Linked DNA regions of Oryzias latipes. The main gene of each other region encodes a partner of the protein of the gene in region 2 in a complex. Links are inferred from orthologs where the notes say so. Each region holds a gene or a part of one and is shown on either strand. Other genes may lie near its edges. The genes, in order: ras-related protein Rap-1A and raf1.

What was found.
Region 1: the proteins of raf1 (region 2) and ras-related protein Rap-1A are in contact, whole or in part, in a crystal structure (PDB 3KUC), measured with the Homo sapiens proteins. The link is inferred for Oryzias latipes from reciprocal best matches to the Homo sapiens genes RAF1 and RAP1A. Residues at the interface, in NP_001341619.1 of Homo sapiens: Thr57, Arg59, Asn64, Lys65, Gln66, Arg67, Thr68, Val69, Val70, Lys84, Lys87, Val88, Arg89, Gly90; in NP_001010935.1 of Homo sapiens: Val21, Gln25, Ile27, Val29, Asp33, Pro34, Ile36, Glu37, Asp38, Ser39, Tyr40, Arg41.

The regions. Positions count from the first base shown.
Region 1 is NC_019863.2:11,456,527-11,466,569, forward strand, and holds part of ras-related protein Rap-1A, read left to right. Parts: intron 1-40; coding exon 41-97; intron 98-525; coding exon 526-666; intron 667-5,353; coding exon 5,354-5,497; intron 5,498-5,853; coding exon 5,854-5,943; 3' UTR 5,944-5,980; intron 5,981-10,043. UniProt on the Homo sapiens protein: Counteracts the mitogenic function of Ras, at least partly because it can interact with Ras GAPs and RAF in a competitive manner. Together with ITGB1BP1, regulates KRIT1 localization to microtubules and membranes.
Region 2 is NC_019865.2:17,674,231-17,684,373, forward strand, and holds the start of raf1 (RAF proto-oncogene serine/threonine-protein kinase), read left to right. Parts: upstream 1-3,403; 5' UTR 3,404-4,036; intron 4,037-4,337; exon of another isoform or gene 4,338-4,420; intron 4,421-4,495; exon of another isoform or gene 4,496-4,520; intron 4,521-4,564; exon of another isoform or gene 4,565-5,081; intron 5,082-6,672; 5' UTR 6,673-6,697; coding exon 6,698-6,898; intron 6,899-6,999; coding exon 7,000-7,112; intron 7,113-7,700; coding exon 7,701-7,803; intron 7,804-7,894; coding exon 7,895-8,052; intron 8,053-8,534; coding exon 8,535-8,624; intron 8,625-9,247; coding exon 9,248-9,401; intron 9,402-9,779; coding exon 9,780-9,899; intron 9,900-10,059; coding exon 10,060-10,084; intron 10,085-10,143. Other genes in the region: cnbp (cellular nucleic acid-binding protein), read right to left, coding at 287-404, 485-683, 819-884, 1,025-1,142. UniProt on the Homo sapiens protein: Serine/threonine-protein kinase that acts as a regulatory link between the membrane-associated Ras GTPases and the MAPK/ERK cascade, and this critical regulatory link functions as a switch determining cell fate decisions including proliferation, differentiation, apoptosis, survival and oncogenic transformation.

The DNA.
Region 1 (10,043 bases), on a different chromosome or scaffold from region 2:
GTTGCCATATTTTCATGTTCACTTGTTTTCCTCTTTTCAGCAAGTGGAGGTAGACGGGCAGCAATGTATGCTTGAAATTCTTGATACAGCCGGCACAGTAAGTAAACCTGACCTCATTGACATCTCTGTAAATATTCCCTCTTCTTCACATACTCCTGAATGCATTTATCAAACACTTTCAGACGTCAGAAAATGTCAGAGAAAATAAACTTTCTCAAATCTTATAATCTCCTAACAAAGTGAATTTAAACATGATCCAAGTGTTGCTGTTTACCCTTTTTATTCATCTGGGTGCAGTGGGCACTAAACCTCCCCTGCTGTACTCATGCAAGATGAGCCTTTTTATTAGTACTACATAATATTTGGAGGATATATAATAGATTTTTGTTTGATCTCTTAAGTCTCAAACAAAATGTCAAATCTCAAGTTTCAAGATACCAACACAGGCAATAACCAGAGTTTATACACAATAAGGAAATTGTCAGAATTAATTCTTCCTCTTTGTTTTTTTCTTTTCAAATGTAGGAACAGTTCACAGCGATGAGAGACTTGTACATGAAAAATGGCCAAGGCTTTGCCCTCGTATACTCCATCACAGCACAGTCCACCTTCAACGACCTTCAAGACCTTAGAGAACAGATTCTTCGAGTAAAGGACACAGAGGATGTGAGTGTACTCTTCATGGGGGGTACTTGCCATACTTTTATAACTCCTCCCAATCAGCTCAAAATAACCTCCAGTATCCTGCTGACTTTGTCAGAATTAGCAGGCATTTGAAATATTTGGTATTGATTATTGTAGTGTTGTTAACATTATTTAGATACATTAATCACAAATTTACTTTGTATACCAGTTGGTTTTCTCATTATCTTATGCCGCATTTACACTGAGTGGGGGCGGCTGGTTTCAATGTTAAGTCAATGTAAACTTAGCAACAGTCGTGCAGTGGAATTCCAGCATGTTAAAAAATTTTTACCTGAACATTTGGGAATATTTATGTCACGTCAACCAATCAAGAACTCTGCTTTAAAAAAACTGGGCAGTGACGTGTTGTTGTGATCAGTCAGAAACCGACATGGTGGAGACGCTCAACGCTGCTATTTGTACTCCTCCCAAACTTCATGTTTTTTCTTATTTTTATTGATATTTGAGACAAGAATAAAAAGGTTCTTCTTTTACTTTATTCCTTCCATGGACAAATCGTCAAACTGGGCTTAGAGAAGTACAGTTGTGTCAGTCATTCAGATACAGCTCCTACATGGCGAAACTCACGTACTGAGACCTTCGTTGAATGATCTCATGAACCCAAGCTTAGGGACATGCTTGCTGGCACATTTGCAAAGCTGTCCAAAACAAATAAATCCAAGCTACTCTTTCAACATCATCCATGCCTTCCATAATGTAGCAATGAGGCACTTCAAAACGTATAGCAGTAGCTCCTTCCACATGCATATTGACCTAAAGTGAATTTCTGTGTGATTTATAAACACACTTTTTTACACACCATAAGAGCAAATTTGCTGCATGGCCAAACAGAGAGGGAGAAGGTCAATTTGATGCAAAAGCCACATTCAGTCTGAACCCAGCATAATGCTGGAGAGTGAGGCAGGAGTTGTAAATTGACTTTGAGTTTTCCAACAATGAAAACAAATGTACTCCTCTTAAGCATCAGCTCTAAATAAGATGCTTCTTATTTTTGGTTTGCTTTTTTTGTTCATTGTTCAACAAAGTACAAACCCTGATGGTCCCTTTTGAAAATATCCTCCAGTTGACTTGTGACATCTGAGTAAGCTCCTAATTTCAAATAAAGCAGAACTATGGCAATGTTATTTTTGGAAAACCAGCTGTCATCTCTGTATTTTCCAAATGTTTGTTTCAGTAGCTATCAACTAACTTTCTTCCTCCTTTTTGGAGGAGCAGATCATGCGTCAGCAGGATCTAAGATGCCCTTTTTTGGCGATCTTTGAAGGGATTGAATGTTACCGTAACCCCTACCCTTTCCTTTCCTAACTTCGTTTTCCTCTTCCCTTTTAGCCGTCAGTATAACTTTTCTCTTGGCTGAGTTTTGCTCCACTCTTTCTGTCCTCCTGGCTCCTTTCGTACCGCATCTTTGCTAGTTCTCATCTTTGTTTGTTTATTTTTTAATGGCCTCTCCAGCTCTTGCCCAGTTTTTATGGTCTTCGTTGTGGCCTCACTGTGGTCTGGCTCTCTGTTTGGGTGATTGGACTGTCAGGGATGATGTGCAAGGAAAGCTTCAGCTCATCAAAAGCACCCTAGGTTGTAAAGCTGTGGTGCTTCATTACGGTCTTTGTGGTTAACAAACCAACATTGGCCTCAAGCTAACATGTGGGCTGGAGGATCCATGGCGTGCAAGAAAGCATTTCATTTACCTTTTCTACCAAAACATGTTCTTTTCTGTTATTATTAAAAAGACTTTATTTTCAACAGTTTTGCTTGTCTGGCTGCTCTGTCAGCTTTCCACTCGGACGTGAATTGGGAATACACCTAAAACAGCTGGAACATTTGTTTTTGTCTTAGCAGGAATGCTCTACCAGAGGAATTTCTAAGCATATTTTCTTTTAATCATCTGTAAAGACCCATTGCTTATTTGGGTTTAGTCTCTAGACCATTGCAAAGTTAAAACAGATCATTCAGGTTTTATTTTTTTTATTTGCCCACACCACCATATGTGTCTCCTGACGGACGGCATTGGGAGTAAAAATAATAATAATCAGCATTAAAAATCCTTCTTCCTTTACTTCCTTCCACAGTTCTTATGTAAGAGATCCTATGACTTTGCTATTTCTGCCCGTGTCCATCATTGTATTATCTCTGTGTTTGTGAGTCACTCAGACAAAATGGCTCGTTACTCATTCTATACTTTGATGTTGTGCATTTTTGTGGGACCTCCTCCTAAATGTAAATGACATTTTAATTCAATCTAATGAAAATGGGGATTCTTTAATTACGGTAATGCTTCCTTATGTCCTGCTGACAAACCTTATTTTTCCCCCATCTCTGCATTCCTGTCTTTCCATCCTTGTTTCTTGTCCCGGCTTGGCTGAGTGCTCGTGCTTGCAGTGCACTCCATTGCTTTGCTAGCAGCCCATACAGAAGTGTTGCTCAGCAGTTCAGTGAAGGATTGTTTGGATATCAAACATCAAGCAGGCACCTCTGTAGGCTCACTGTATACACGTCTGTTTCCTGTCACGATTCTCAAATGCAGGAATGCAGAGAGAAAACTTTTCTAGAAATGTATTCTATGCTTTTTTTGTCTCAAAGACAGTAATCGCTTAACAAAAAAACAAGTGTTTTTTTAATCAACAAGACAATCCTAGATATAACTTCTGGAAGAGAAGAAGGTAATAAAGATGCGACTTTCTGAGCGTAAATTCATGTTTTTTTTCTACTGGAGGCCAACCACAAATAGATTTCTCCTGGCTGATATTTTATTGATGGCTGTTGTGCTGTAAAAGTTTCCATTAGGTAATTGTTTGTTTGTTGGAGGCCAGTGGCAAAAATGGAAACGTCTTGTGAACTGTGACAAACATTGATGCCTCGCTTCTTTTACCCCCCCTCCTCACATTTCCCAAGTAAACTAAACTGTTAAACACACAAAAATGTCACACACTGCACAATCACACACCATCATCTAATTCCACTGAGCAGCTGAAGCATGGAATACAGCTGAAATGTTGGAGAACATTCAGGAAGGAAAGCAATGTTATCCCGGCTGGGCGGGGCCGCCATGACTTCCTACGAGCCAGCATTCTCCCAAGATAGTTAGTCAGGAAACGGCAGACAGGATGAGACGCATCCCGACAACCCTCACTGCTCTGTGTTTGCAGATTGTAATAGGGAAGCCCTAAACTGGACTAAAGGTTTCCGTCCTGCTCCACCTTTTTATTTGTCCTGCTTCTTACTGTAAACGTGTTAATAAACAAAAGGAGAAGTGCTGTCTGTTTAAAGAGATCCAGTAACCACAGATCAGCACTCTGTCAGCTTTCTTTAGAAACGTCTCTATTAAAGACAAACCAAAGTTTTCTCAGCAGTTTCTGGTCATTTTTGATTAGTCAGCTGGTAATTTTACATTTTATAAGCCTTCTCTAACTGTCTGCCTTTTGTCACACCATTGGAGTTGATAGGATGGATAGAAAGCCCCTTTGCTGTCCTGGAGGAAGCATGTGGCAGATCAGTCTAAACTTGTTCAGTTTCCAGTTGCATGTAGCTACGTATGTCTTTTGGATGGCTGAAAGCTGTAAAAAAAAAAAAAAAGGTTTTCCATTTGTGTGGAATGTATGTGATTGAATGTCACGTCGACAGAATCTCATTCTAAGGTGAAAAGTTTGAACAGTGACTTGTTAGCTTTGATAAAAAGACAAGACTTGAAAGATTCTGTGCAGCAGTTTCACCTTCAAATCTTATGGAGGCCTCTTCATCACTTCATGTATTCAGCTTTCTGTCTGACATTTAAGAATGCCTAAACAAAATAGGAAAAGTTTGTGTTCTGTCCTTTGCACAGCTGGGTATGCCACTCCCTGTTTTTGTTCCATAATATTAAAATGATTGTGGAAATTTGTATTGTGATGAGTTGATTCGGGGTTAAAGCAGATATGGTTTTCTTTTTTTCTTCATTTTTGAATCCCTTATTGATCCTCATGCATACCTGGAATACATTATAATTGTTTTTATTCATTCTGTTTTTTCTTTTTTCTTCATTAGAATATTTTTTAAGACTTTAAAGTGTAAGACAGCTGAAAAAGGGAAACCTTTGACCCTCTGGGAAAATGGGTCTCCCTTGTGACACAGACCTGCCAGTTCTATTTTCTCTAAGTGCTAAAGAAGCTTTAGCAAAGTCTGCTCCCATCCAGGTTGGAGCGGGGCTTTTTTCTGCACTAGTCAGGGTTAAATGAAGATTAACATGGATGACGTTGTTGTGGGTGTTTAGTCAGTTATCGACTAGTAAAGTTTTATCATTAAATGGTAAACTACTTTCAGGATTTAAGTCGTCCCATAACATGTGGTCTTTTGCCTTGAACTGCAGTCACAGATGGATGTTTGGGCTGTTTTCATGCTTAGCATATGTTGGATGAGAGCCTGGACTAACACATGCAGAACAGAGTAACTATGAAAAACCCATAATGTCATAACAATCCGATGAAAGACTTGGGTTTACCTATGTTAGATTAATGCAATCCAAACAACCTTCAGTGAAGATGATGTAATGTGCTTGAAACACTCTCTGTTTGCTGAAACAGTTCAGTGCACCGATAGTTTTTAGGCTAACAAAGTAAAAAAAAAAAGATTAACATGCAGTCTTGCCTGTTTTCTACTGTTTTTTTTGTTGTTGCAGGTGCCGATGATCCTGGTAGGGAACAAGTGTGACTTAGAAGATGAGCGTGTGGTGGGGAAGGAGCAGGGCCAGAACCTGGCCAGACAGTGGAACAACTGTGCCTTTTTAGAGTCATCTGCTAAGTCAAAGATCAACGTCCTTGATGTGAGTCCACTTAAAAGCACGAACCTGGAGGTCCAAATCATTGAAAAGCAGGCAAATGCTTCAGGAGTTGTTGCAATCACCTTTTTTTTATTTTTTAATTAAAGTCCTTAAATCATGGATGGACTAAATTACAGATTCCCTTGCTTTTCCTCCCTCTATAGCCCCAAATATTTTGTTTTTATATCCCTGTTATTACTGTAGTAATGCTTTTGTCTACATTTTTACAAGTCAAAGGAAATGTAGGGATTGTTAGAATTTTCCCCCAGCCTAGAGTTTTTCTTCAGTGTAATTTTTCCACCATGCTTTCTAGATGAATTGGAATGCTTGAACATGTCCTTGTTTGTTTGACGCTCTAGATCTTCTATGACCTGGTAAGGCAGATAAATAGGAAAACGCCCGTGGAAAAAAAGAAGGCAAAAAAGAAATCCAACTGTGTCCTGCTTTAAACACCCCCCTCCAACCCCAGCAGCAGATCTGAGCCAGGTGAGTGCGGGCTTAGATTGTGTAACGGTTTATCAACAACACTCAAAAGAGCCCCCCCTGTAGAGATTAAAAGGGAACAGCAGAGTTTTTAAGGCAGCGTAACTTAGTCGATGATCTTATCTGAACCTGATTTATCCGATCTACAGATCCACACATTCAGGAACGCGTGAATTTAATAGACGGTTGCACTTCTATATCTAGTCTGCCAGTACATTTTCTTTTTTTATGACATGTTTAACACATTCTTAAAATGTGCACAGAGGCCAAGAAAGCCTTTTTTTTTTAGCCTTTTTAATTTTAAACACTCATGTGTTTTCTGCAATTATAATGTTTGAACCTCATCAAGTTCCAGCAGCTTCAAATATCTGAGGAAATCTTGGTCCATCCTTGCAGTTTCTCAGAAGTCAGAGGAGCTATAAATACTCTCTAACTAGACTTTTTTTCATTTCATTACTTCCCTAAAACAGTTCGTAGACATGCTAAAGGAGAACAGATCAGAAAATGTGAAACCAGGCACGCTCTCTTTGATTAACAAATATTTCTAAACAGAAATCAATCCTTTATGACCTAATTTACTATCAAATGTTCACAATGTGGTTGTATCTTTAAAAACAATTTCTTTTTAAATTTCTCTTATTAATGTTTCAGATAAAATAGAAAATTCTTTGGAAAAATATTGTATTTATTGTATTTATAATTTGTTTTGTCTTTTAGTCTTCCAAAACTAGGAATATTCCTATATTTAAACCTAATGTATCCTTCCACAGTTGATATTTTAATATTTATTACAAAAATGTCAGTAAACTCTGTTTTTCAAAGATTTAAACGTTATTTCATATTTCTTGGGCTTTAGCTTTAATTATTAAAGTGTTTTTATTTCATGAAACTTGTGCATGTTTGGAACAATCCAGCTTTCCTAACACAGAAATGCTGGATCTTGCTTTAAACTAGGAATCAGATATTTTATCTGCATGTGAACAGTTTGAAAACTCCTGGAATATCAGATATTTAAGTTTTTGCAGCATCTGATTGTTTCTTAGTACTAGAACCAGGTCAAAGTTATATTTGCTTCATTTTTAAACGAAAAAGTGAACATTGCCATTTTGTCATGAATGGCTTTTCTCTTCCATCAGCTGTTATTTCATTAGAGATCTGCAAAAACACATGACTGCATTTAGCTTTAGAGATCAGTGGCCTGTGAAAATAGGAGGAATTCAGGAATGATTTGTTCCCCTGAAGCTGTTGCAGCTTTGAACCACGCATTGTGATGGTGTTCTTCCCTTGTAATTGATTCCTTCTAGGGAACAAATACCTTTCCATCCTGCCAACAGTTCTGCAACACGTCATCATCACTTCTGTAAAGCACAGTCATATTTACACTTTAGTGTACTGACTGATCCCAAGCATGAAGTGCTTCTGCTAAACCTTCTGTTAGCTGCTCAGATGTCTACCAGCTTTGCATTAAAGTCCCCCTACGATGAAAAGCATGATTTTTGAGTTTTTGACATGTACGTGTGGCATTTTCCTTTTTGAAAGAGAACAAATGTCAACTTAACCTTTCCTCTGGGTCCAAGAAAAAACTTCCACACTGGCTGCACATATTTGGAAAATTATGTGTGAATACACACTTTCTTTCTGGCATTTCATTTTATTTGCTGTGCAAGTGAATTCAATCATTTTCATGCGCTAGCACCAAATCAGTTCTGAGCCACAACCAGTGCAATGTAGCCTAAATTATAATGTCATTCTAAGCAGTGGGATCAAAGGCGGGGCTACTCAGCTCAGCACCAACGGCCACGCCTATGTAGAGGAGATTTTGGAAACGGAGGCTTCAGATAGACATAAAATATGGCTTTTTAAGACATTTAGGTTGTGGGATTTTGGTTAAAAACTTCATAATCATAATTAAAACACAACTGGGAATGTTTTCCTGAGAAAAATTGTCATGGGGGGCTTTAAAAAGGAAATCAGCCTGCCTTCTTTTACTACCACACCTTTGTGTTTGCAGTAAGGCACGGTTTTTAAATGTAACATGTGAATGGCACAAATGCAAGTCCTAAAGGTTCATAATTCAAATGCAGCACAGAGAGAACGCTTTTAGTCACTTCTGCTATTTACTGTTTGGATTTAGTGTTGCTGAACCACCAGGTTTGTAATTTTTTTAAAACTTTTCGTTTTTTCCCCCTCCTCTCCAAGCACACTTCCAGTCTGTTTACATATTTAGGCCAATGTTGACCGAGCAAAACGTTGAGGTTGCCATAACAAAGACGTCACGCGGGTCTACGAACACCTTCTGCTGTGAACAGAGTTGGAGAATGCACAACTAAAATGACTGATAACATCCAATTGATCAAACATAAATCGTTAGATTCTGACAGCTCAAAAGCGCCTGGTGTTTGAACCCCCAACCTCAGCCTTTCTAATCAGCGCTTCGTTTCCTTTTTCATGCTCATATTGTGCAGATCAATGTCAGCTGCAGGATAAAGGCTGAGATTGTTTTACCAAAAAAAAAAAAAAACAGTTTGAAGCAGTTTTCCCCCCAGTTTGTTTACATTCCTTCTCAGAGGACTGATCTTTGGAACATTAGAAAGACAGGGACCTTTCTCTGTTTTGCCTTTGTTTAAACGTCTATGGATTAACTTAGAATCCACAAGTAAATAAACAATAAATCCGGTTTACGTGTTTTATGGAGAGGAGCCAGTGGATGTGAGTCTGAAATCTGCTCAGAATGTAACCCAGATGCCTCCTAATGAGGCGTTACCAGGATGTCGAATATATGAGGAGGCCCTAAAGCAAACGCAGGACACGCTTCAAAGATGTATTTCAGCTAACCTGGAAATGCCACTGTATCCCCTGGAAAAGGGGGTCCCAAAGCCCATGTAGTGGGAACAGTAGTTGTCAGAGTTGGTCTGTATGTGCATTGGTACACTCATTTTTATAGGAGTGAGCAGCTGCATTACTTCCGCACTTGTAAAATGTCCTTTTGAACACTCAAGCTAGAAATGGATAAACATGGGACTGCCTCTCTTAACAGAGTCCAGGACAGGTGAGCTTTTGTTATGTCAAACCTGTTTCAGTAGATGAGATTTGACAAAAACATGATTTTTTTGCATATTCCATCAAAACAGCATCATAAACGGCAATAAAATACAGCATGTGCACATCCTGTATCTGCTGTTTGGCACACGCATTCATTTACAAATGACGTGGTCAATTGAATGCTCTGAATGGAGCTCTGTGTGGGGCGAAGGCCGCCACATCGACTGCATTCACAGAGCACACAAACCGGTCCCAGTCATTTACATGCAGGAGTAATTCCACTTTTAACCCAGCCACTCTGCTTTTATGGACGCAGCTGCAAGAGGCTTAAATTAGCAGGATTTTATTCAAACTTAAGTGCTCTTGTTCTTTCAAAGTCCATTTTTAGTTTTAGTGGGACTCCGTTAAATGTGCTGAACAACAGTCATTATTTGCATAGGCACTTTTGTGCACTTTCTTACTCCGCACAAAGCAGAGCAGGGGCTTTAAACGGAATGCCTAATGGGATGTAAAGGTAAATAAAACAATGTTTACATTACCTTATTTAGAGTTTCCAATCATAAAATGTCTTTATGGAAGGATAATTTGAAGTTGCACTTTGACACAACAAAGGAAATGAAAGAGTAGATTAAGTGTTAAGGAGGACTGCATCATCCTGCAATGGACTACACAAGAGCTACCAATGTTTTTTTTCTTCTGTTTTGTTAACGGCAGTTTATTCTCCAGTGTACGAGGATACTGCGCCACTTAATGACATTAACTCAGTTAACATACACGTCTATGCTGGTCAACTTGGCTGCATCTCATCAGAGTAAAACGCTCTGTTTTCCTCCTTTCCGGTAGCCAACATATTACAAATAAAATCCATCAAACCGAGAGAAGGACTTCAGCCGTGGGGCTTTCATTAAAACCCTTGTGCTATCTTAGATGACCCCACCCTCACATTGACCTGTTCTCCCTACCATGACAAAGATGGATAAAGGTGGAAAGATTTCATGTAATCCATGGACACCAGTGAAGATCA
Region 2 (10,143 bases):
TTTGTTTAGTCCCACTTGTTCATCGCTGATCACCAGTGGCTTGGAAAGGGGGGGGTTCTTCAACAAAGCATTATACATAACACCGCTACCAAACTAAAACATTTTATTTTGTATTGAATGCAGAAAGATATTTTTTCACCCCTTTCATTGTATTACATGTCTAGAGGCTCACTGGCCCGGGACTAGCCTCTGTTAGCCAACCTTTGGCCAGTGAAGAGGATTCAGAGAAAATAATACAACCAACCATCAATCCGAAAAATAAAGGAGGGGCAACAGAGGGCACTGCTTATGCGGTCGCTTCGATGGTGCACTCTTTTGCCAGGTGGCCTGCCTTTCCACAATTGTAGCAGTTAGTCTCGCTGGCTTTACTGCAATGCACTGCGACGTGACCGATCTCACCACACCTGCAAGAGAGGAGGAACGGGGCCACGTGACCAACCCAAGATGACAAACGTGCACGTCTGAAAAAGACGGGGAAACTTACCTGTAGCATTTCACCTTATCGCAAAGCTTCTGGATGTGACCGAACCCACCGCAGGAGTAGCACTTCTGCTCGTTGGCATGGTCGCAGTCACGCGCCATGTGGCCAGCTTTGCCGCAGGTGTAGCACAGCTGCTCCCTTTCCTTCTTGGGCTCCTTGCAATCCCTGGAAATGTGACCACTCCTGTGGCAGTTGTAGCACGCTAATAAACGCAAGCCAAAAAAAAGCAGTTTACAACTACTGTTAGCTTAAAGAAAATAGGTCCAAAATTACTAAATTGGATGCTTTGGTTTTAACATGTCAATACTTTTTTTTTTATACTAAAAAAGCTGCACACCATCCTCAGTTTGGTCACAATCCCTGGCCATGTGTCCCTGGTCACCACAGCGATAACAGAACAGCTCTGAAAACACAAGAGAGCATGTTACGTTACTTTTACTATAATTATTAAACATTTTGCTTCAAAATTAGAGAAAAAGATGTGTAAAAACGTGTGAGGTGCAGGTGAACTACTCTAGCCGTAGTCATAGTAATGTGTAGTACCCTTGCCTCGTCCCCGGCCCCTGCCACGGCCACGCGTCCCACTGGCGTTGGGACAGTGCTTGACCCAGTGCCCAGGGCGTCCGCAACCAAAGCACTCGCTGTTGCTGCTCATCTCCATTACCTAAAAACAGACACAAAACTAAAATAACTATATGTGCTTAAAGAAACCTATAGTGGGGTGGAGCAAACTAATCAGCAAGGACACGTTCTCTCCTGAAATTTCAGTGGATTCATGGGAGATTTTGACGTGATCTTAGCATTTGTAACATGCAACTTTATTGTGTTTTTTAGTATTAGCAAACCAATTCAGTTCAACACAGGACTCCCATCACAAATTACAAGCCAAATGACTAAATGGGAGGGTCTACTCTACAATCAGAGAGGGATTTTTTTTAATCTATTTTAATTTTCATCTAATGTTGCAATCCTAACTGTCAAATGAAGCCAATAAACTACAATTAGCAGCTACACTGACTAACTTACAAGATGTCCTCAGTGGGATCATGTTGTGATTGTCATAGGGCCAAACTTCAGTCTGCTGAAGACATGAAGTCAAGAAGGGCTTTAGTTCATAAATTGTTTAGCTTTCTTTTAGACTAAAGTTAGCAAAAATATATATACTGGCTGTCATAAATAAAACAGGACCAAGTATTAATTAACTCGTGAGCAATTGTCCCTTAAACACTTCTTTGCTGAAATTTCATTAACCCCAATTAACATGTGATTTAAAAAGTTAATACTTTAAAAGCATAACTTGTGTGACTTTAAAAGCTACACTTTGAAAAGAAGAAATACAAATCCTAACTTGAGATATTGGCTGGTTTTATTTTAAGCCAAACGCCATTAGAGGCCGGAGGATGGCCATGCCGTGGGTAACTTTATGTCCAGGGGCCAGCACGCCGCATCGTGTTTTGATTTAATGCCTTCAAACTCAACCAAATTGATGGGGCGTTTTGCAAACAGTGAAACGCTTTATGCTGTTTTAAATACCTTGTGGGGGGTTTCGTGTGTAAATTGCCCAACACAGAACATGTGGCTCTGAAGCGTTTAGGCGCTCACAGCAACAGAAATGCCAGAGGTTGAGGCAGCATGAGCGTCGGCCTAGTCACGTTGATTTTTCTGCGCACTCGCGAGACCGTTGCTGGCTAGCGCACGCGAGCTCAGCTAACCACCTCATGACCAAGAAACGCGGTTCAGTCGACGATCAATCATCGCTGCCCAGTAAAAGGATGCCGATCCGGGGTTATTATCGATAGTTCCTTGCGCTAAGTGTTTTTCCAGGAGTATCAGATTCAATATTGCGTATAAACGAAATTTCCCGCCAGGGCGCACTCACCAAAGTCGTTGTGATGTGCTAACGTTAGCAGGCCGGACTACGAAGCCGATGCTGAGTTAGTGAGAGCAAACAAATTGACAGTAAGCCGTATTCACAACAAAATTAATCAAACGTCTACGCTGGTTGACATTTTGATTCATAAATACAAATGTTGCAAAAGACCTTTAACACCAAACGGTTATAATATCGCAAAGCCGTTTTATTGCTTACCTTTATGGCTACCTAGCTATGTCACTGTTTACGCCTCCTCCTCTGCGCTGCATGCGGTGCAGGCAGGAGTTCCTGAATTGTCATTCACAGTATCCAGTAAAAACTCGCCCTCTGATTGGCTACGTGCTCGCCAAGTAACCAATCACAGACCAAGAAGCCTGGACACCGCCCCTCCAAATAGGCTAATCGTTGAGATGAGACGGTCCATATTTTTCCCTCCTCCGCTAAATTAGTCGTTTTCTCTTCGCTTCATTTCAGACATCTAAAACATCTGGAAGTGCGAGTACCGCCCGTATGCTAGGAAGAACACCAAACATGGCAGCACTTTAAAGTTTAAGAGAAACATAATACAATTGAAGCCAAGCTAAATTCATGTTAAAATTAAGGGGGAAACTCTTTATGTAATTAACACATTTTTAATGTCAACCAATCTGGTTTTGGATCTACATTCATGCAATTTGGAAATTGCATGGAGGTTTGATTTTTAGTGGCTGAATTAAAAAAAATATTTTAACACTTTTTCATTAAAAAAAATTAAAATACATGAGAAATGTGAAAGTAAATAACTGAATAACTCCGATTTTAATAGACTGTAAACAACAGCTGTATTACAATTATCTTTATTCCAAATAAGCCAAATTTAAAGAAATAAAGTAAAAAGACAGATCCTTAAGCTGTTTACTGGAATTAAACTAATAATGGGTCAATTCAACCTATAGTTTATGTCATTGTTTGTTTGTAAAACAATAAACTTTAATATTTCATCAGTCTTCTATTTATTTTTGAGTATTGAAAGGTACACATGTCATAGGAGCTGAAAACATCTCAGCTAACTGTCCTGAGTGCTCTCCTAGATCAATACGTGGAAGAGACGCTTTCACCAGTCTTAAGGTGGATTTGGATGGAAAGCTTTCGTCGTTTGATTTGTCTAATATCTCATTTTTGCATCCTATTAAATCTGATCATGTCTAATAACTTGTAATGGATCGATCTGGATTGTGTAAAATGATGGATTTTATTCAGCGTCACTAAAAACAGAGTTGTGGTTCTGCATATGGGCTGGAGCACCTTAAAAGCCAGCCCCATGACAAAGCCCTGCCCCATCCTCACTGGAACACTGTTTAGTATTTCTGTGTTTCAGTTACTTCTGAGATTGGGTTAGAAAAGCCTGCTGTCGGAGAAGATGGGTGAAATGTGAAGTTACGGATAGTTACAGATGAAAAGTGTTTATTGGGAAAGTATAGAATAAACCTACAGCTTTGTGGCTTTATTGTCTTGGTAAAACTGTGCAAAGAGCTGCTCATGGAGATATCCAGCGCTCAGGACACAACACACTGCCTGGTATGATGATAAAACTCCTTCATTGCTTTGGAGGATACTGGAGCCATCTGGGATAAGGGGACCTCGGAGGATCCTTTCAGGCCAGGACGTCACAGAGATGATGATCACATGGTGAGATAAGTTTGGTATGTTTTCAGAATGATACTGCTTTAAGAATAAATGGACATTACTTGCCAGAAATTATTATGGTTAAAGATCTTACAAAGGTAGAACAAGTAATGACGTGGTTCTTTTGTTCTACTTGGCTAAAATACCAGTTTGTATTGTGATTATTTATATTACATGGCTTCACATTGTGGTTTATTGATATTTTTAGACCAAATATGTCAGTTTTGGCTCAGATTTACTACAAAGAAGCAGATAAATTTCAGGGTTGCAATAACCCGTCTGTGCCACCAGGTGGCGCGCTTGGAAATGTAATGAAATACTTATTAGCCATGAGCGTAAACCAATGAAGACCTCCGGTGTAAGTCCATTAGCTTTTTGCGTTTTCTGAAAGATTTGCAAACGTAAGTAAACATAAATGCGCTTTTGAAGCAAAATAGCCTAAACGAACACTTACTGGGGGATAAGAATGGACGAAATCCGGTGTAAAATATGACTTCACAGGTCTGTATTACAGACAAAACTGTTTCTTTTCAATTATTTACGAATAAAGCCGAAGAAGTGGGAGGACTTCGGCTGGTCCTCCAGCTGCGCAGTCAGCGTGAGCGATGCTTGCAGGTCTTGTTTTGACTGCAAGGTCTAGTTTCAATCCGTGGCGTCGGGCGGACGCACGCCTTCAAATCTAAACAATGTAAATAATGGAGCACTTGCAGAAACTAATGGAGGTTCGACTTTAAAGGTGAATTAAAAAAAATCTCAGTACAGTCTGACTTTTTATGCGAACAACATTTTTGTTCCAATTTAACCACCGGGAGACGAGGAAGAAGGAAAGTTTTCCGTGAAAGAGACTCGCCTGTGACCTTTATATGAATGCAACATTCTCCGGACGCAGAGGATTATTCGACACAACCGAACCGGCGGATACACGTCTCCCCCCGTTTCAGCAGTCCTGACGTTCTCTCCATCTTTTCTTTGAATGCGTTGCAAAAAAAAAATCCTGATGATGTCACCGACGCCACTTTTTCCTGAAGTTATGGCGGAGCCCAAGTTTTTGAACTTCTCTTGGTGAGCACGTACTGGCTGCAGCTTGCAGCATGTCTTGCTTGTGTTTGCTAGCTCGCGCGAGGAGTTAATTTACTTCCACGGAGCGCACGCGGACACAAAAATGGACTCTCGAAACGAAGGGAAACCGAGTACTAGGATAGCTTTGGACTTCACTTATTGGCGAAACGGTTCGCCTCTGAGGGCCTTCAGACTCTAACTGTTGTAACAGGAACTATAAGGCCTCACATAACATCACCGTTACCCACTGGTAGAGTTGCCATGTTAGACACGGTCTTCGTTTAATTCAGCTTTTATTTGTTAATGCTCTGCTACCTTAACACGTTCCCATACGTCATCAAACAGTGCTACGCTGCTGATAAAGTTTTTATCCACACTTCAAACTCAGGGTTTGGAGCTGATTGTTTTCATTGGAGTTTGAGTGGCGTAACCGCCTATAAAATTAAATATGGGGACTGTATTTCACCCCCAAAGTTAAATACTGTCTTGTGGATGGATAAAAGCTCTTGTCCTGCAGAGTACAGTTAAAAAAAAAAACTTTTCTGCATATTAATCATGGCTCCCGTGACAGCTAGCCAGTACTACTTTACAGTAAATATTGCCCTCGGAGACTGCACGTTTTGGGGTAAAACACAATAGAGGTAACTGGAAAAGGGGTTTTTTTTTTTGGGAGGGAGGGTGAAAGTAAACCGGGAAAAACACTACCTGTATGTGTGTATCTATATTTACAACATAAGGCCACAGTGTGCACTAGAAACAAAGCAGAGGGTTCGGTTGTGATGGTTCATCCCAAGCTGTGAACACTGACTCCAGTTATTTTTAGCTCTGCTTATTATGTGTGTGGTTTTAAATGGTACACAAATCCTGATTGTTATCATCATTCCTATATTTCAGGTCAAACATTGAACGTATATTTAGTTCAATTGTTGTCGTTGCACGTTGTGCAATTGGTTCATTTGTCTCAGATTTTGTGTTACATTAGCCAAAATGTCCTTAATTTTGTTGTAATACTGTTTTAACGGCTGCTGCAGCCCCCTCTGAAAGGGCCCTAGTCTTAGTTTAATCTGGTGAGGGCATACCTAGTGAGATTATATTTAGAGATGACCTCAATTCCAATTTTTGACATCTAAATAAAATGTTTTCCGCCTTAATAAGAGGCAAATGTTGCTGTCGGCTGAGTATTGCTGTTTAGCAAAAAAATAAATAATAATAATAATAAATAATAATAATTAAATAATAATTTTTCTCCACATGACCCAGTCTACATAGGAGGCGAGCATCTAACAAAACAGGGCTTTACTCGATTGATCAAAGATGTAAAGGGGACATCTGATTGGTCAAATGTGCAAGAGACAATATTTTTTAAGTATGTCAAGCTCCCATGAAATTGTTTTAACATGTGTGCAAACATTTAAGGTAACCATTTATTGCAGTGTACGACGTCTTTTGCAATACGTGTATTGCACAGGCTGGTATCACCATGGCGATACATTTTCCGTTTTGTGCTAGGCCTAATCCAAAATTGCACAACAAATCTTTTACAACTTCTCCCAAAAAGATGCTTGAGCTCTTGACCATCTTATTTTTTTTTTAGACTATCGTGACAGTTCGCCTTACTAATGGAGCACCTTCAGGGAGCTTGGAGGACTCTGAGCAATGGATTTGGAATGAAGGACTCTGCATTTGAGGGCCCCTGCCTTTCCCCGACCATGGTCCAGGGTTTTCCCAGCCAGCGACGCTCCTCAGACGACAGCAGGACACCAGACTCCAAGGCCAGCAGCACAATCCGTGTCTACCTCCCAAACCAGCAGCGCACTGTGGTGAGTTCAATAGCGCAAAACTTCATGCCTATTTCCAGGACTCTGAAATCGACTTCCAAAACAGTGCACACATGTTGTAACTAATTCCCATTCTGTGTCAGGTTAACGTACGACCGGGTATGACTCTTTTCAACTGCCTCATTAAAGCGCTGAAAGTGCGAGGCCTGCAGCCTCAGTGCTGCGCCGTCTTCAGGCTACATCCAGGACAGACCAAGTGAGTTTTAGAACTAAAAGTGTTTTCTAAGCAGGGGTTTAAAGACCCACTCTGAGGAAAATTGTGTTTCTAAACATGTTCTAGTGGCATATAAAATGAAAATTTAGCTCAAAAATGAATTTCTGAGGATTATTTTATTCAAATTGTATGAATTGAGAGCAGATGAAAACATTCAGTTGAAAAAGAGTGCATTTGTGACGTTGAAAATACTCTTGGTGGGCCACACGACTAGATCGATGTACGTCTTCATTTTCCTCATCCAAGCTGACATCTGGTTAAAAACTGTACGGCTGGAGACTTCCAATATTGCGTTCTGTTTTCGTTGCACCGTTAATGTTAAGTGGGGGTTGTGAGGGGCTGTCAGCTAGCGGGAGGGCGTGTAAACAGAGAGCTTTTCAGCAATGGGGAGTGGAAGGGCGGCGGGGTTGCTCCGTGCCAACAGTCCCGTCCACAATTCAGATTTTAATGTTTAACAAACCACTGTCACTCTGCAAAAGATGATCGGAGTAGGACTGTAAAGATCCAACACACACAGATCTTTAAGATGCTCTATTTATGTGTTGGCTGTCTTGTTTCTTTTTTCACTAGCAAGAAACTAAGGATGGACTGGAACACCGACTCGACCTCTCTGATTGGAGAAGAGCTGCTGGTGGAGGTTTTAGATCACGTTCCCTTGACGACGCATAACTTTGTATGTGGTCTGAGTATCTTTGACAAACATTTCATAGATTTCCAGACATCAACACTATATTTTTTGTTGTTGGTGTTGTCGTCATTTTCAGGTTCGTAAAACATATCTCAAGCTAGCATTCTGTGACATTTGCCAGAAGTTTCTCTTGAATGGATTCCGCTGCCAAACCTGCGGCTACAAATTCCACGAGCATTGTAGCACCAAAGTGCCCACAATGTGTGTGGACTGGAGCAATATCAGACAACTCCTGTAAGTATTTAGGAGGTTATTGGATAAAGTAGCTATTTGTGCACAGATGTATCAAGTGGTTTTTGGTCATTTTTACCTTCACCATTATCGTCGTTCGGTTTAGTTGCCATAGAAGTAGAAAGGTCACCAAGACCAAAGAGGAAATTCGTGTCAACTGCTGCTGCACTTTTTAAAAATCATTTGCATGTTTGTTTAGTGAATGTAGAAGTTGTCTTTTCATTTTATTTCATGTATGCAAATTTATTATTTAAATTTTCTTCAAAGATAAGCAATAAAACCAGACTATAAGCAGACAGTGCTGGGAGTAGAGGAATGTGAAGGAATTCTAAAAAAAGAAAAAAATTTCAGTAGTTTCTCTGTTGAGACATGACCACTATCCAAGTAAAAAACAACATGTTTTCCTTTATTTAGTGAAGCAAATGTTGGTGATCGAGATGTTTATGATTGTCAGCATTCGTTTTAAATGGTTTTCGTACCTTCAGGTTATGTCCGACACCCGGGGAGAGCGGCGGCCCGTCCTTCCCGCCGCCAACTTCCCGGCGTGTGAGGGACTCCTTAACTCGCTTTCCAAGGTGAGATTGTGATTGTTGGCCTCCGTCTCATCCTCAAAAGATTGTTTGATTGATGCTTGCTGCCGTATTTTTAAGTGCAGTTTGTTTTAACAAAAATCTCCGTTTTAAGGATGTTTATGTTATCTTCTCGAATGCTCCCCAGTTCACCGGTTTATCTAACCGGGCGTGAACAGAGTTTCTGGGAGCGAATAAAACGGCACAAAAGACAATCGAAGCTATTTGAGCCACCAGATTAGCGGCCACAAAGTATTAAATGTATTCTATTTTCAGGATCCTCAAAAGCGGGACAGTTTGCAACAAGCAGAGCGGATGCATGCAGTTGGTTTTCATTGTCTTTGTAGAAACTCTGAAGTCATTTTAGACAAAGTCATGGTGTTGTCTGACAGGTTTTGGCCTGATCAGTTAACCTTCATCTCTAAATGCTTCTGCAATCTCAACCGAACACAAGAAAGGATCCAGATTAGATCATTACTGACGTTTTACATTTTTGGATTTTTTTTGGAGTGCATTCACTCCTGAACTAAAATAAATATGGTTTAGCTAAGAAAAAGTAAAGGACGGAAATGGTAGCAAGAGAAGGTCACTTATAAAATGAACGTTTTCCTTTTTGGGGGCCTCCACAGCTCCGCCCACAGATTCTCCACCTCCCACGCCTTCAACGACACAGAGCCTTACACGCCGCCGGGCGGAGGTCTCTCCCAGAGGCAGCGCTCCACGTCTACACCAAACGTCCACATGGGCAGCACCACTCTGCCTGTAGACAGCAGCATGATCGAGGTAACTCCACACCACCCTGTCTTGGTCCAGCAGGTCCTGAAATATCCCCGTGTTTCTTGTCAGCCTACATACATCTTAGGCATGCCAAGTATTTCTGCCTTCCCTGTTCTACCTTTTCCCCTTCTTTTTCTTCATTAGTCTCACGCTCCTCTTCCTCACAACCTGTGAATCCCAAATCTCCTCAGAGCTGACATCCCGCCTCCAACTAGATCTTTGAATAAATGTGGCCATTTGAATTCAAGGCAGTAGTGTTGTGATTTACAGGCTAAATAAAGCCCTCTGTGTGCTGTCCAGTTAGCATCCTTTTTCTTCACCCTCACTTCCCTCTCTATTCTGTCTCCTCTTTGGCCTGTTGTCTTGTCCCTTACTGTGGAGTAGCTAGACTGCCTGAGCCCCTCTGCCAGCTCCTGGTGCCACAGATTCTGGCTGAAGAGGAAAGTAGGTATTGTGCACTTCTCCCAGTCTTTTGTTGAGGTCCCATCTGAGAGTCCAGAACAGGTTAGAGAGCTGTGTGCAGTCTGACTGGCATGCCTTTACCTGTCTTCACATCTTATCGCCTGGGTTTAAAACCACACATGGCAGCATGGCGTGGGCTTTCGTAATCTTCAGTTTGAGTAAGGTTATTAATCCTAATTAAATGTGGCTTTTATTTTTCTAGGATGCAATGCGAGACCATGACTCAGGTAAGTCTGCTGCGTCACTCTTCCTCTTTTACTTTCCACATAATTGTCAGTCTGCGTAC